Linked DNA regions of Caenorhabditis elegans. The protein of the gene in region 2 interacts with the protein of the main gene of each other region in a pairwise test. Each region holds a gene or a part of one and is shown on either strand. Other genes may lie near its edges.

Region 1 (4,567 bases), on a different chromosome or scaffold from region 2:
TATTTGGAAAATGTTGACATGTTGCGCTGAATTTTTTATACTTTTTAAAAATAAATTAACCTATCGCCTGCATTGAGAATATCGGAATTTTCAAGGCTCATTTCTAGAAAAATATGTGAATAACGTGGTCATGGGCCCAATTTTTTATAGGGATCATAATTTGTTTTCTCAAAAACGAAAACAAAAAGGGACAACTGGATATACAGCAAACTATAATTAGATCAAAATAGACAAAACTTTGAATTTTGAGCAGTGTCAGGGTTACTGTAAAGGGGGGGGGGGGAGTGACCTTGCCATGAAAACTGTTCCACGACCAGCTATGGGGTGGCTTTTTCAAAATTTTAATTTCTAAATCAATTTTCAAAGATAAATTCTCACCTATGAAAATTCCGATGTCCAGCTGACTTCCGATGCTCATTCTCCTCAAGTGTCTGATATTCGGTTCGTCCACTATATCGGAATTTCGATCCAAAGTTGAAAACCTTCCTTTGCGGCGTTTTTGGAGGAGTTTTCAGCCGGAAGAACGTGTGCTGCTCGATGCAGCATTTCCAGAGAAGTTTGCAGATTTTCGCGGACATGATGTTGAAGATCATGATTGTTTCGCTCTGAAATTAGGATTTTGTAACCGAATATTAGAAATTTGTACGTCAAAGTTCAGCCATAATTTAAAAAAAAGAAATTTTTTTTCATAAAGTCTCTCCGAATCTAATTGTTTTTTTTTGTGTGTAATATGAGGCATCAAGGTTCTAATTGAAAACAAGGCAAATAACGCACCAATACGTCATACTTTTTTGCACAAACTTAAAATTATGCCTACGTGCCTGCCTATTGCCTAATTTTCAAAATTGGAATAAATTGTGCTATATACTTTTAGTTTTTTAGGCGAATTTTTTCACAGATTCCATAGCCAAAAACTCACCACTCCATCCTCATTAGCCACCAAAACTTGAAATTGTTTTTTCTTGAAGCTAAGTTTTCTTATTCGTACCCACGCGTACTCATTCATCTTGATTCCCTCGTGAAATACTTTAATTCCAACTGCTCCTACTCCAATTTCGATCGGAAGATGATTTGCGTCCACTCCGTCATAAACATCCATTCCGTACATTTCGAGACGCCGCGCGTGGTCAAGAAAGTTCTGCTCTGCTACGTCAGGGGTTTGACCGCTGAAAAAAAATCAGGATAAAAGGCATTTGATGTAGGTATACAGATTTGCCTGCCTTCCATAAAATCCTAAAAAACCTACATATGAAGCTGATGAAGTTCTGCGACGCGATCCGAAAAATCATCTGGAAGAGTAGCAAATTGAATTTTGTAGCACAGACACGTCCGGGACATTCCATGAGTTTTCTCCTCAAAGTCTCCGACTTCCGCTGTAAAAATCAGTTTTATTATCAAATTTCGATTTTGCGTGGAATATGGTACTGTGAACAAAAAAAAATTGCGCGTCACATCTGATGCATTAGAACCATGACACTGAGCAGAGCAGAATCTTTGAAATTTGAACATTTTCTCATCAAACATGGTGCATTCGAATACTGAAATTACGGACCAAATGCATCATATGAAACTTGCGCGTCAATTGTGATGCATTAAACATTTGAAATTTGCTCGTCAAATATGGTGTATACAAAATTTGCAATTACAAACCAAAAACATCAGATCATATGCGCAACTATAGTCTATAGAAGGCACAATAATGCCTACGCACATGCCTACAAAGGGATCGTAGGTAGGCGTAGGCAGGCAGGCACACCTTCTCACTAACCTTGTACCACATAACTAGCCAACAACGCAAGTGATCCTTCATTACACGGCAGCCTTCCTTCTTCCAAATTCTGCCTAACTTGTTGATAGAATTGGAACCTCGTAAACTCGTCTCGTAGACGATTCGGGTCCCGTACGTAGAATTTGACACGGAAGAACAAATGATACGGTGGGCAAATCATTTGTTTTCGCAAGTTTTTCGACGGATCCAGCCATTTCTGAAATTATTATTGTAGGAAAAGCCTTGGAAAGTTGAAAAAACCTTCTGCTGAGCACTAGAATTATCGACTGCAATGAAGACGAGGCCAAAATAATCTTTTTCGATAATCTCCAAATAGTTGAATACTTTTTCTAAAAGTACGATTCCCAGGGAGTTTTTCTGAAAATTGAGTAACTTGTTTCCTGCGGCCTGCCTACCTACCTGCCTACGTGAATGTAGGTAGGCACAGTAGACCTGGTGAATCATATAAGAATTTAATGCACTTCTTCTGCACTTTTTTCTTAACTGAAATCGAAAACAACCGGCTAATTGAAAGTTGTTGATGCCAAGTAAATACCATCTTGAATATTTCAAATTGGAATATATTTTGATTCAATACAAAAATACAAAAATGAAGTCAATTAAAAGATATTTTAGTTGAAAATGTGGAAATTTATACGATTAACAACTATTTTTTTTGCAAAATTGATATTTTCTTTTCAAAAAAATTCCATGAAAAATTATCAATTAACAATATGCGGAAAACTTTGAGTTTCTAAAAAAAGTTTTAAAACTTTCAAATTTATAATATACAGCTTGCTCAGCCTCAACAGAAGTGAGCGCAATGAAGAAGCCCCATTTTGATTTTTCAAAAATATTGGCGCGAAATTCAAATTTTAATTTTTCCAAATAAAAATGTTCTACAAATTTTTGGAAAATTTACGAAAAATTCTCCAAATCATAAACAATATAATTTGTCAGTCAAAGGCTTTTTGAATCATCTCCTAGATTTCTTTTATAGCTGAAAAAAATACAAATTTTCCGTACAAGTACGTCAAATTTTCTCATAAAGCCAAGCTTTCAAAAATAATAATTACATTAAAAAAACCTCTCACCTCAATTTCAAAATGATAAGAAGTGCTATCAAGGAAGGTAACTGTACATCGGATCTGATTTGGAGGCGGTGTCTTGACAGGCGTTTGACCAATTGCCTCCGTCCTCTGTACATCGTAACTATTCGATCCGAGACGCATAGCTGCTTATGTCATTATTGTGCAAAAAGGAACAGAAGCCGTCTGAAATAGTTAAAAATGAGTGAAGAGACAGGCAAAGAGAGAGATAGGAAGCGGAGGAAAACAAAAACAAAAACTTTCGAAGAGATGTTCGACGAGGTCAGCTGAGTGAGCGAGAGACAAAACCAATTTGCTGCTCAATTTATAGTTTTTTTTGTTTAGCCGGGAGGAGGAAAAGCCTCAAAAAATAGGAATAGGGAAATGAAAAACAGATGAGAGAGAGTGGTCAAAGAAAGGGATAAATGTAGCAAGAAATTGAAGATTTTGGAACATAAGTGCAACATAAGAAGAATAGGAAGGACTAGTAGTAGTGGACGGATGGACTCAAATTCTGAGAGTTTAGGGAGAGGCTAATGCAGTTAAGAGCCATTATATGGGCGGGGTGTTTTATTGATTTTTTTTAATTTTTGGTCGGATTAGATCTATTTTTAAATAGTTCCCTGTCTGTAAAAAATTTTGGGAGAAATTAAATTTTAGAACCAATAAAAAAGCCCGCAGATGTCTTCGCGTTTTAGTTTTTTTAAATATTTTTTTTTATTTATCAATTTCGTCAATAATATGTTTTTCAAATGGCTAATTATTAGAAAATGAAATCCTTTAAACTCCAGCACAAAATATTCAAAAAATACTACTGAGAAAATGCGCTGCAGCGAAATTAGGAAAAAAAAAGCTAATTGAAATTACGAATTTCTACTAAAAATTGTTTTTTTTTAATATGGAATTTTTAAAATTGAAAGTTAATTTCGAGTGTTTTTTTTTAAATTTAAAAATTAGCCGAAACTCGAACTATTGAAACAGAAGAACACATTCCAAAAAATCGAAAAAAAATAATTTTTTTCCAAAATCAAAGAGCAAATTCTAAGCTTTATCAAAATTTGTTTATTTCAATGAGAAACAATTTTCTCCAGGAAAGAAAAAATGCTCTAAATTGGTGAAAAAACGTTGCAAAGCTTGATATTTTTCTATTAAAAACTTCAAAAAAACTTTTTGAAAAAAGTTTTCTAAAAATACCGCACCAAATTCAAATCTCCAAGTGCTAAATCCATGACTACATCACCCTGCCACACATTACTTTTTCCATCTAATGAGGCGAAAGTGCTCGCGGAGCCCCCAAGGAAATTCAATAAATAACGCGCGAAAATTCTTTGGGAAGGAACGAAACAAAGCCAAATTTTAATTTTGAGAACCCCAAAGAGATAAGGAGCCAGATGGAATGAAGGAAAAATAGAATAAATGAGAAAACTGGGACAGCTTCTTCTTCCTTCCTTCCACCCCAGCAACAACACATTATGAAGTGGAGTGGACCCAATAGAAGAAGGAAAAAAGGAAAAAAAAAACGTTAGAAAACGAATTGTGTGCTTTAGGAGAGGGCGAAAATAGAATGAAAGTGGACCTGGACTCCGCTGCCGCCAAAAATTGGATGGAATCGGAGGCAATTATTAGGCCCTCTTAGGATATGTGACATACACACCGAGAAGTTTTGATTGATGACGTGGCACGGGAAACGGAGAAAAAGTTGAAGATGAGT
Region 2 (4,670 bases):
TCATTTTACAACGATTTTACAATCATACAATGATGTTTCTAAAATTAACGTGAGATCTGCGAAAACACTACACATAAGTTTGATTTCTTTGAATAATTCAGCCTCGGTGCATTATTTGACTATGATTTCCAAAACATCATAGAACACAACTTCTAAGCTTATTGAGTATAGGATAAATTAAAACTAATCCCCAGCTCATCATAATAACTCTTGATAAAATGTTAATTTGAAAAATGTTAACTTTATGTAGTTGTTTTCTTTGAGAAGTATTTAAAACAGCTGCAAACATCTACAAAGGGCAAAATTTTGTCAAAAAAAACTTTGAACCCAAGCGTAAATGCAAGTGACATTTTCAATACTCTCAACCCCGGAAGTCCTCAATTTAGTATAAATACTTTTGCAGTTCAAACATCTTTTGAAGAAAATTTTGGAAGTCGAGAAACGTTCATATTCACATGACTAATGAGCCCACAAAGTATCAAATAACCATAAAAGAACTAACTTTTGGAGGTGGAGCGAGGTCGACGGCTTCCGTTGTCTGAAAGATCTCTTTTTTTGTTTTTTTTTGTTGTAAAGTTTGTAAAATAAAATGAAATTTAAAATCTATGCAAAAAATTGAAGTTACCTGTGCAACCACATTGACATTTGCAAGTATCTGTATAGCAAGTGCAAGCACCGAGAACATGTGTCGAATTATTGAAGGGGGTTTCTGAAAAGTTGACAAGCTAGAAAAAAGAACGGAAACAAAATGAAGTTGTCTTTGTTTCCCACGCGCTATCCACACTATGACTATTTTTCATTTTTCCTGTCATGAAAACCCACAAGGATTTTGGCGTGATTGCGAATTAATCGATGTAAAACGATAATTTATTTAAATCGAAATGGTTAATGGGTAGTGCGGAAAATACAAATAAATTTCAGTACTACCGTAGGTTTTTTTTTGTATTTCTACAATTGTTACAATTTTTGGTATATAAAAGAGTCTCAGATGTACAATAGTCTTAAAACAACCGGCGGTAGTGATTAAACAAATGGTTAAGACAATCAAGGAACTGTTGGTTGAGCAGATGCAACCAGCGTTGCTCAAGACTCCATTTTTTGTCCATTATTTCGCGATTTTTTTCTTATAGTTTTTGTTCCAAAAAATTTCGGAACTCATTTTCCTATCATCCATGTACATACTAATGGGCCATAATGTGTTTTTTCGATTTGGATTCAAGCATCTTCTCCCTCTCAAAAGAATGGATTTAACAATGAGCCGCCGATGTGTAGGAAAAAAGTTGAAGAAACGAAAAATGAAAGGAAGATTCTATGCCACCGCCACCCCTATTACGTATTTTTGCGGCGGCGACGTGTGCGTAGAAATTCGAGATTCTTAACGGGAGGAAACCAATAATGGGAGAAAATGGGAAAAAAAAGAAACATTACATAACAAAAACTGTCTTATAAAATTAGGTGGGAGGAAAAAGTTGTCTGGTGTATTTGTAAAGGATTTGGATTTGTGCACAAAATAAAAGGCAATAAATGACTTTTTACAAAGTTATTGTAAAGAATGTTCTAATCGGTAGGTAAGTTATCTCAAAAAAGGATGGGATCATAAAAAAATAATCTCCCTATACAAGTTGCTGACACCTACTTGGCTTCTTGTACTTATTCAACAAAAAAAAATACTTTGGAGTTGGGAGCAGAGCATGAATCAAGAATAATTGATCTCCGAATTTAATTATCACAAAAAAAAAGAAACCAAAACGTTCAAAAACACCCAGTTTTGTGTATACATTTTTCAAATTTGGCAGTTCATAATTTTGGAAAGTGTTTTATTCACATGGCGTTATCACGTAACGGTTGTAATTGTGTAAAGTAAGAAAAAACGAACATATTATTTGAAAGTGAAGAATTGTACAATCCCTAAAGGAATCAAAAAACTTTTTAAAAGTGTATGTATTTACTTCATTTTTCTTCCTCAAAAATAATAGTTTTTGTAACAGTTTTGATATTGGTTTAATTGGCAACAATTTTGAAAATGCACTCCACGGACAATTATTTGTATTTTTAAAAGTCATATTTTTTTTTTGCTCAGCGCAGATTTACTATTTTCGATTAGAATTCTGAGGTTTTCATCATTTCTTTTTTCAATGTGTTTCATTTTACATTACGTTTCAATTTTTCATTTAGTAGTGACACTTTACCTAACAGTAACTTCCAATTATATATGTTGTTAGTATAAGTTTGAAATTTACTCGAGGTCAACAGTCTAACATTTTTGAAAGTTTGAAATTTAGGGCAATATTTGTGAGATGAGAGAATGGAACGGTTTTCGAGGGCTCATTATAAGTTTCAATGAAAGTGAGTGAGTTAACTAATAATAGTCTTTATGTCATGAGTCTGGGACGACGTCTATATTTTTCAGTTAATAATTGTCGCCATTACCAGCCCAATTGTGATGGGCTTTCCCCATTTATTTATTAAAATAAACTTTCGCTTACCGGTACCATGATTTGAGTATTGAATAAAAATAAAGTTTTCAACTCTAGAAATGGATTTTAAGAGAATGGAAAGGATAAGAGGGCGTTAGTCTTGTGTGACACAACACAAGCAGCCGGGGCACACGGGGGCAGATTCGGTTAACAAGGCGAGAGGCGAAACACGATCCGTGCTATTCTAATGAGCACTATGAGTATGGAAACTCTTGTTCCCTATATACATTCATATGTGTCGTTTGCATGTCTGTCGTTTTCTGAAGGGGACCGCCGGTCTCCACCCATTTCGTCGACCTCTAGCCAATTTTCGGAGCAGTAGGAGTAAGCAGCAAAGAAGGAATCCAAATCCGGGCGGCGCCGGAAGGACCTGCCTTCATCTGCTCCTCTCCTCAAACGCTACATCAGAAGCCGGTCGCACGCGACAAAAATTTCCATAATTCTCAATAAGGGCGCACTTTTATTCTTTCTAGAAGCAAGATTTGCATGTGTTGGAAAATAAAAACATACCTTACCCGAAATGTTTGCCTCATGAATGTGATTTTTGTTAAAGAAGTGAATACTGCTCCATAAGAATTTCTGATAACAGATAGATATCAATATTGAAGGTCTCCAAGTTCTGCAAAATCAAAAAAAAAATTACATATAAACGGTAGCTAAAATCAGTACGATCAATAAAGTGATAAAGTTATCAATCTGTTTCTAATTGTTCAGAATTGTTTTAAACGAGTCATCTTAATTCTGATACATAAATCACGTCTTAATCTCTATGAATGTTACCAGTGCATCAAATACAAAATTCTAAAGTGTTGTCAGTTGCAAAAAAACCACTAACTCAAAAATATGCATAAGGAAGAATTAATGAAGCGACCAAGAACCAAAAAGACAGCCGGAATCTGCCCTTCTGACGCGGAAGATAACTCATTAAAATGTGGACTCCAGAGCTGGCCACAGAATAGAAATAAGTGGGAATAGAAAAGAATGAGATCTTAGATTTATAACTCGTCATTTTTTTTGCGAAATTCTACTGAGGTGTGGTAGTGGTGATACGATGAATGCGATGAGTAGCAAGCAGAAAAGAACTGAGCTGGAAAAAACGGAATGGATGAGGAGAACGGCACTTCTATCTAGTACTGAATTTTAAAGTTGGAAGACGAAGAAAACAAGTGATGATGGTGAGAGTGAACAACAGACAACGATTGGTACAGCTTTTGTCGGCACCTCAATTTTTTTTTGATCTCTAGGCATCCGGAAATTTTGAATATTCGTCGAATTCAGTTTTATTCTAATGCGTATTGTGAACAATAATCTGCTGAATTATTTAAAACATTTCAATATGGTTTGGATTTTCAAATCAGATTACTGTTTTCACTTTTATTAAACCGACTGTGTCTTTAAAAAATCTGAAAATAAATAAACTACAATTTGCAAAATTCTTTTTACTGAACCAAATTTTACAATTATATCTAGAAGATGTATGAGTTTCTGATATTCCTCGAAGATGAAGGTTCTTGACTTGCGACCTCCGTATGATTAATGTTAATTTTTTGATTGGGAATCAGTTCTAAATGTATAAACGTAACTACGATGCTGTAAAAAATTACCATAAACTTGTGAAAAAAAAAAATTATTTCACATACAGTTTTCAGCCTAATTTGCGGGAAAAAATGAATCGTCCGTTAGACGATTCATTTTTTTAGATTTCTAAAAACCTTCGCAATTGCTGTGAACAAAAACAAAAAAAAAGTTTATAAAATTTTTAAATAGGAAAATAAAAGTTCAATAAAGCATAGGTCAAACTATGATGTCGTTTCAACTCTGTCATTGAAGACGCCTTCTAGTGGAGGATTTTACAAGCAAAACTTATGCTGAAGAATCAAATTTCCGAACAAAAAGGAGAGTCAAGCGATGTCCATTCAGAGTCCATAATGTTGCGGAAAAGAGCTTGCGGCCTCCTTTTTTGCAACTGGGGTTTTAAATTTCTCAATGAATTAAAAATGAAATTAATGCGAGTTCTGAAGCTATTAAGTAAGTAGAGGGAACAAGGTAACATAATATATGTTGGAGACGTAGCAAAAGAAAAACACACACAGAAGGAAAAGAATACGAGACAAAATGAGAAGGAAGAACAGGCAGACAAAAACAAGGAGAAAATCCTTAGGAAATGCGGCTAATTTTCAATTCGTACTTAGC
Region 3 (4,613 bases), on a different chromosome or scaffold from region 2:
ATCCTACGCCACTTGAAATAGTCTAATGTATATTATTTCTGATATTCTTTCGAATAAAAGTGAATATAAAAAACAAGTCCCAAAAATATCGGATTACAAGATGCGTTTCAATGTTGGGAAATGCCAAGAAATAAAATTCAAGTTTTGTGAAAGTTTTCCGACAAGTTATTTGTATTTCTAACATGTTCCGAAACCACAAAACATTTTATGAGATTCAAAGTTTGTTTGAAGGAAAAGAATATTGAACATACAACGTTTGATGAATGTGTACTTTTTGAAGAAAATTAGTAAAATACTTGAGAAAGTGTCTAAACATGACAAATGACAAGAATGGGAGAAGATTGTTGGTTTTTTGTAAAAATTAATAGAATTGGAATGTTGCAATCTTTTAGTGAAGCAAGATATTCCAATGCGTCATGCTTCGTTAACTATCTTTCTATTGAATGAGAGAGAGAGCACGAGACACAGACAGATTGAAATAAAGACATGGCAGGTGGAGGATAAAAAACAATTGGAAGAAGGTGTCTAATGGAGGACCAATTAGATATATTCAAATGAAGGTCATTTATTAAAGGACAAAGAAACGAAGAGGAAGATTTGTAACGAATGATAGGTAAGTGGAATTGTTGCGGATTACTGTAGTCAGACAACTTTTTTGAATTTGGTTCTCTCTGAGAATATGGCTTACGAACAAGATTTCTTAAAGGAGTAAAAAATTTTAATCGATTTTCCATTTTAGAATTTTCGAATGTTTCATCGAGTTGTAATATACTGTTAAACACTGGAATGCTGGTAACTCGTTAGTCTTCCAAAACTATTTCTGTTTCATCATATTTTTAATTATGTCACAATTTATTGAAGTGTTAATTGTCAAAAATAATAACCTATTTATTGATTAATTTACACTCCTCTTTGAGTTGTTTTTCTACACTCATTTCAATCTTCCTAACATTGAACTGTGCAAATTTCCAGTCCGCCAGTCTTCCAATATTTATGTTATTTTCCGTATCAATACCTCATAAATCTATCTGCTATCATATCTCTGTATCCCATTTTCTCATTTAATTTACAGTTCCTCTTCCAACTTTCTAATGTCTCAATTTTGATCATAAATCATCATTTTGTTCTGTTTCTCTCGCACTAAACATATTTTTTTATTACTTGTCTTCTTCATTGTCATTTTCTTCTCAATAAAAAATGATCTACCTTCTCTCTCCTTTCTTGCCAATGCCACAACACACATTTAACAAAACATACATAAGCTTCAAGAGGCTGAATGAGAGAGTGCGTAGAGTGCAGACACAGTTTTAACAGTTTTCTCGTATGTTTGCGGTTTACTTGGCAAGTTGGCAAAATTTTTGGAAATGTATGCAAGAGAAGATGGAGGAAAGATGAGTCAGAAATATGAAGAAGAGGAAATGATACTCGTATTTATATGAAAATGAAATTCTTTTTGGAGAAAATGGAAATATTGAAGAAAAAAGTTGAAGAGGATGACGAATACCTCAACAAATGTTGGAATAGTTTATAAAACATAGTACCCAATTGATAGTTTGGCGAAGTTGGTCTCTAATCAATTTAAAGAAAAAATACTGAAATCCTTATCAAATTGTTTTTGAAGAATTTGGGTAAGGATAGGCACGCGTACCAGTATGGGAAAGATGAAAAACAAAGAAAAGAAACCAGTTGAAATACCATTTCAATTAATTCTACGGTGTGCATTTTATCTGAAATGCTGTAAAACAAGTTGAGATTTCACGTTTTAAAGAAGTATGGTTTTATGATGAATTATAGCCCAAACCAAAAAATGTGTAATTTAAATTTTTAAATTTTGAATAAACAGGAACAATTGTCAGCAAAAAATTTGGATCAACTTTGGTCCGTAAAATATAATTTTCCATCGTTTCTTTGGAGCTATCGGTTCATTTTAAAGACAGTTGCTGACATCAACAAAATTATTAACTAAAAAATTATAGTAAAATAGATTATAAGTAGAAAGTTGTCAAATTATAATAAAATCAATGAAAAATCAGTTATGAGCTGCCTACAGTAAGGGGGTGCAATACTAATAGATAATTCTCTAACTTTTAAATTTATAATTGTTAGAAAGAAGTTTTATTTTTGAGTCGATATTTCAAAATCACAACGTGTGCTCACCCGACTCCTAGATTCCAATGATTCAATACTCCTTACAGATCCATCTTTGAAGATTCCGTTCCTTTTTCGTGAGGTCCTCTCGTCTTCTTCTTCTGATCTTATAACTTCATCAAATTGTCTCATCACATCCCGTTGCTCCGCATCCATCCAATCACTCATTCTAGTTCTTTTGATTCGAATTGATTCAGTTTTCCAATCAAGTTTCGGAACTCGCAGCAACACGTGGCTACCAGATGGAACGATAGCAATGAGTTCAGATGGGCGGATGGTAGAAGCGTCGGAGATCGTTGATGATGCACGTGAAGGTGCACGGAAAGATACAGTCGATGATGTGGTGGTAGTGGTGGAAGAAGCAGATGATGAGGGTTTCTTCAATTTCTTTAGCAACGTCAAAGACTTTTGTCTTGAGAGAGTAGAGACGTAGGCTGGAGAACAAGTCCTCTGAGACGAATGAGGTGTTAGACAGTTGTTGCAATAGACGAACGACGAAGAGGGAGGCAATAATGATGAATCCTTTGGCGCTGGGTCCCCTAGACCCGCTACTTGTCTAACTGTCTGCGTAGCATCTCCTCGTGTTACTATCTCAGTGCGCGGAATACCTGCGTCTCTGGTGATCTGCTCCGTTGATTTGTCATCGGTAATCCGTTGTGGTTGTGGGAGATGTGGTAGATGCGAGGAGATCAACCACAAATAGTACACGAAAGAGGTGTAGAGATACGAAATCCACGTGATTGGGTTTTTCCAATCTATTCTTTCTGGTTCAGATGGATTGCGATCCATGTTTGAAGAAGGCAATATGCAGATTTAGAATTGAAATTTCTTAGCTGAGAATAAGAGTTGAGAATACTGTAGTGATGTGCCGAAGAGCCAAGGAATGTGAATCAAACAAAAGTGCCTTTTTGGTATTCCTTTGTTTGTCAAGATATATAACTTTTTTGTCCCTCTTCGTGCCTCAATGCATAGAATATGTATGGTTTGGCCCATAAATTCTTTGCCCCGTCTTTTTCCATCTTCTTCATATTTTTATTGAATATTAACATACAAAACAGGCACACACACACAAAACCAACGCTATTGTGTCGTCCGTTTCTTCATCGATTCGAGAATCATCGAAAAGTTGTTCCGTTTGAAGAATAATGGTTGAGAACGTCTTGGAGTGCATGGAGAATCAGATTGTAAATCAAAAATTGGAGGAGAGAAAGTACAAGTGGATGACTAGAAATGATGTCTTAGCAATACTTAGATATTACAAGGAACTTAGAAAAGTTTACAAAACTTTTGCAATAAATCAAATATTTTTATGGAGTTCTAAAGAAAAGTTTTAATCAGATTTCAATCGCCTAAACTATATAAAGCATCATCGAATGACAGAATATGTGCATTACAATTTCAAGATAGTCTCCAAACCAACCACGGGTTTTCCTTAATGAGGAAACATTTTTTGTGCGGAAAAGGCAATTCCCGAATTTTTGAAATTTATGAATAAGTCTTTTAACTATTTATGAAACAGAAAAAAATTATTCAATTTTTTTGCAAGAATTTTTATTTCCATTTCTTCATTTGAGATCGGATATTGTATAACTTTTTAAAAATTTCAGTTCTAAAATTGCATAGCCATTAATAATGTTAATTCCAATTTCCCCAGGTTCAATTACCAATTTTTAATTTTCATTGTTCCTATAACTTTCATCTAAAATGACGTCATTTCTTGTCTATCGACTCCCTGTCTATCTACCTCGAAATATTTGTCAATCCTTTTTTAGTGTGAGAACATATGAAAATGACGCATAAAAATGGTTCAGTGTGACTCAGTAGATATACGAAGTTCGGTTGATCAAGTGCAACTAGAGGTGTCAAATAAACAAATGATGCTCAATGAGCAACTACAGCTATACTATTTGATATTCGATACTGTTTGAAAATTACAAAATAACAATGAGGAATAAACAAAGTGGAGAAAGGAGAAAATTATGTGAAAAGGCAAAAAGACTGACCTGTGAATATGACGTGGGTGCGTACCACGAACTTGGCGGGGGAGAATTGTTGGACGGATGACAGGAGTTCCTCTGACAATTGGTAACATAAGGGATTTTAGGCGCAACAAAGGGAAATAAGACAAATGGAAAATGTTTCTAATTTTACTGTCAAAAACGAATATTGCATTCTTCACGACAATGAAGACTTTTTTATCTTACATGTTAAAAATTTTAGAATTTAAAATAAAGTTAGGAGAATGAGAAAAGTCACACAAAATTGTTTTTTTTAATTTTGTAAAGATAAAATCTACATTTTGACTAACCATTGGAGAAACTCGTTCGATATTTGGAAGGTCCAATGTGATTTGAACATTATTTTCATTGTACCACTTAGCTCCTTCTTCAGAGATCACAAGCATTTCACATCGATTTGGATTTGCTTTTATGCGCTCAACCACCTTCTTGTGATTTTCTCCAATA

The links.
Region 1: the proteins of mgl-1 (region 2) and ptp-1 interact in a two-hybrid assay, tested with the Caenorhabditis elegans proteins (one study listed by BioGRID).
Region 3: the proteins of mgl-1 (region 2) and nrfl-1 interact in a two-hybrid assay, tested with the Caenorhabditis elegans proteins (one study listed by BioGRID).

The regions. Positions count from the first base shown.
Region 1 is NC_003281.10:3,589,203-3,593,769, reverse strand, and holds the start of ptp-1 (Tyrosine-protein phosphatase 1), read right to left. Parts: upstream 3,047-4,567; 5' UTR 3,001-3,046; coding exon 2,863-3,000; intron 2,147-2,862; coding exon 2,030-2,146; intron 1,986-2,029; coding exon 1,769-1,985; intron 1,374-1,768; coding exon 1,247-1,373; intron 1,167-1,246; coding exon 920-1,166; intron 606-919; coding exon 379-605; intron 1-378.
Region 2 is NC_003284.9:9,973,297-9,977,966, forward strand, and holds the start of mgl-1 (G-protein coupled receptors family 3 profile domain-containing protein), read right to left. Parts: upstream 3,011-4,670; coding exon 2,993-3,010; intron 2,933-2,992; exon of another isoform or gene 2,496-2,932; coding exon of another isoform or gene 2,487-2,495; intron 710-2,486; coding exon 626-709; intron 539-625; coding exon 503-538; intron 1-502. UniProt on the Caenorhabditis elegans protein: G-protein coupled receptor for glutamate. Ligand binding causes a conformation change that triggers signaling via guanine nucleotide-binding proteins (G proteins) and modulates the activity of down-stream effectors.
Region 3 is NC_003282.8:9,119,805-9,124,417, reverse strand, and holds the start of nrfl-1 (Na(+)/H(+) exchange regulatory cofactor-like protein nrfl-1), read right to left. Parts: upstream 3,047-4,613; 5' UTR 2,938-3,046; coding exon 2,158-2,937; intron 1,141-2,157; exon of another isoform or gene 740-1,140; intron 614-739; exon of another isoform or gene 542-613; intron 1-541. UniProt on the Caenorhabditis elegans protein: Scaffold protein that connects plasma membrane proteins with members of the ezrin/moesin/radixin family and thereby helps to link them to the actin cytoskeleton and to regulate their surface expression.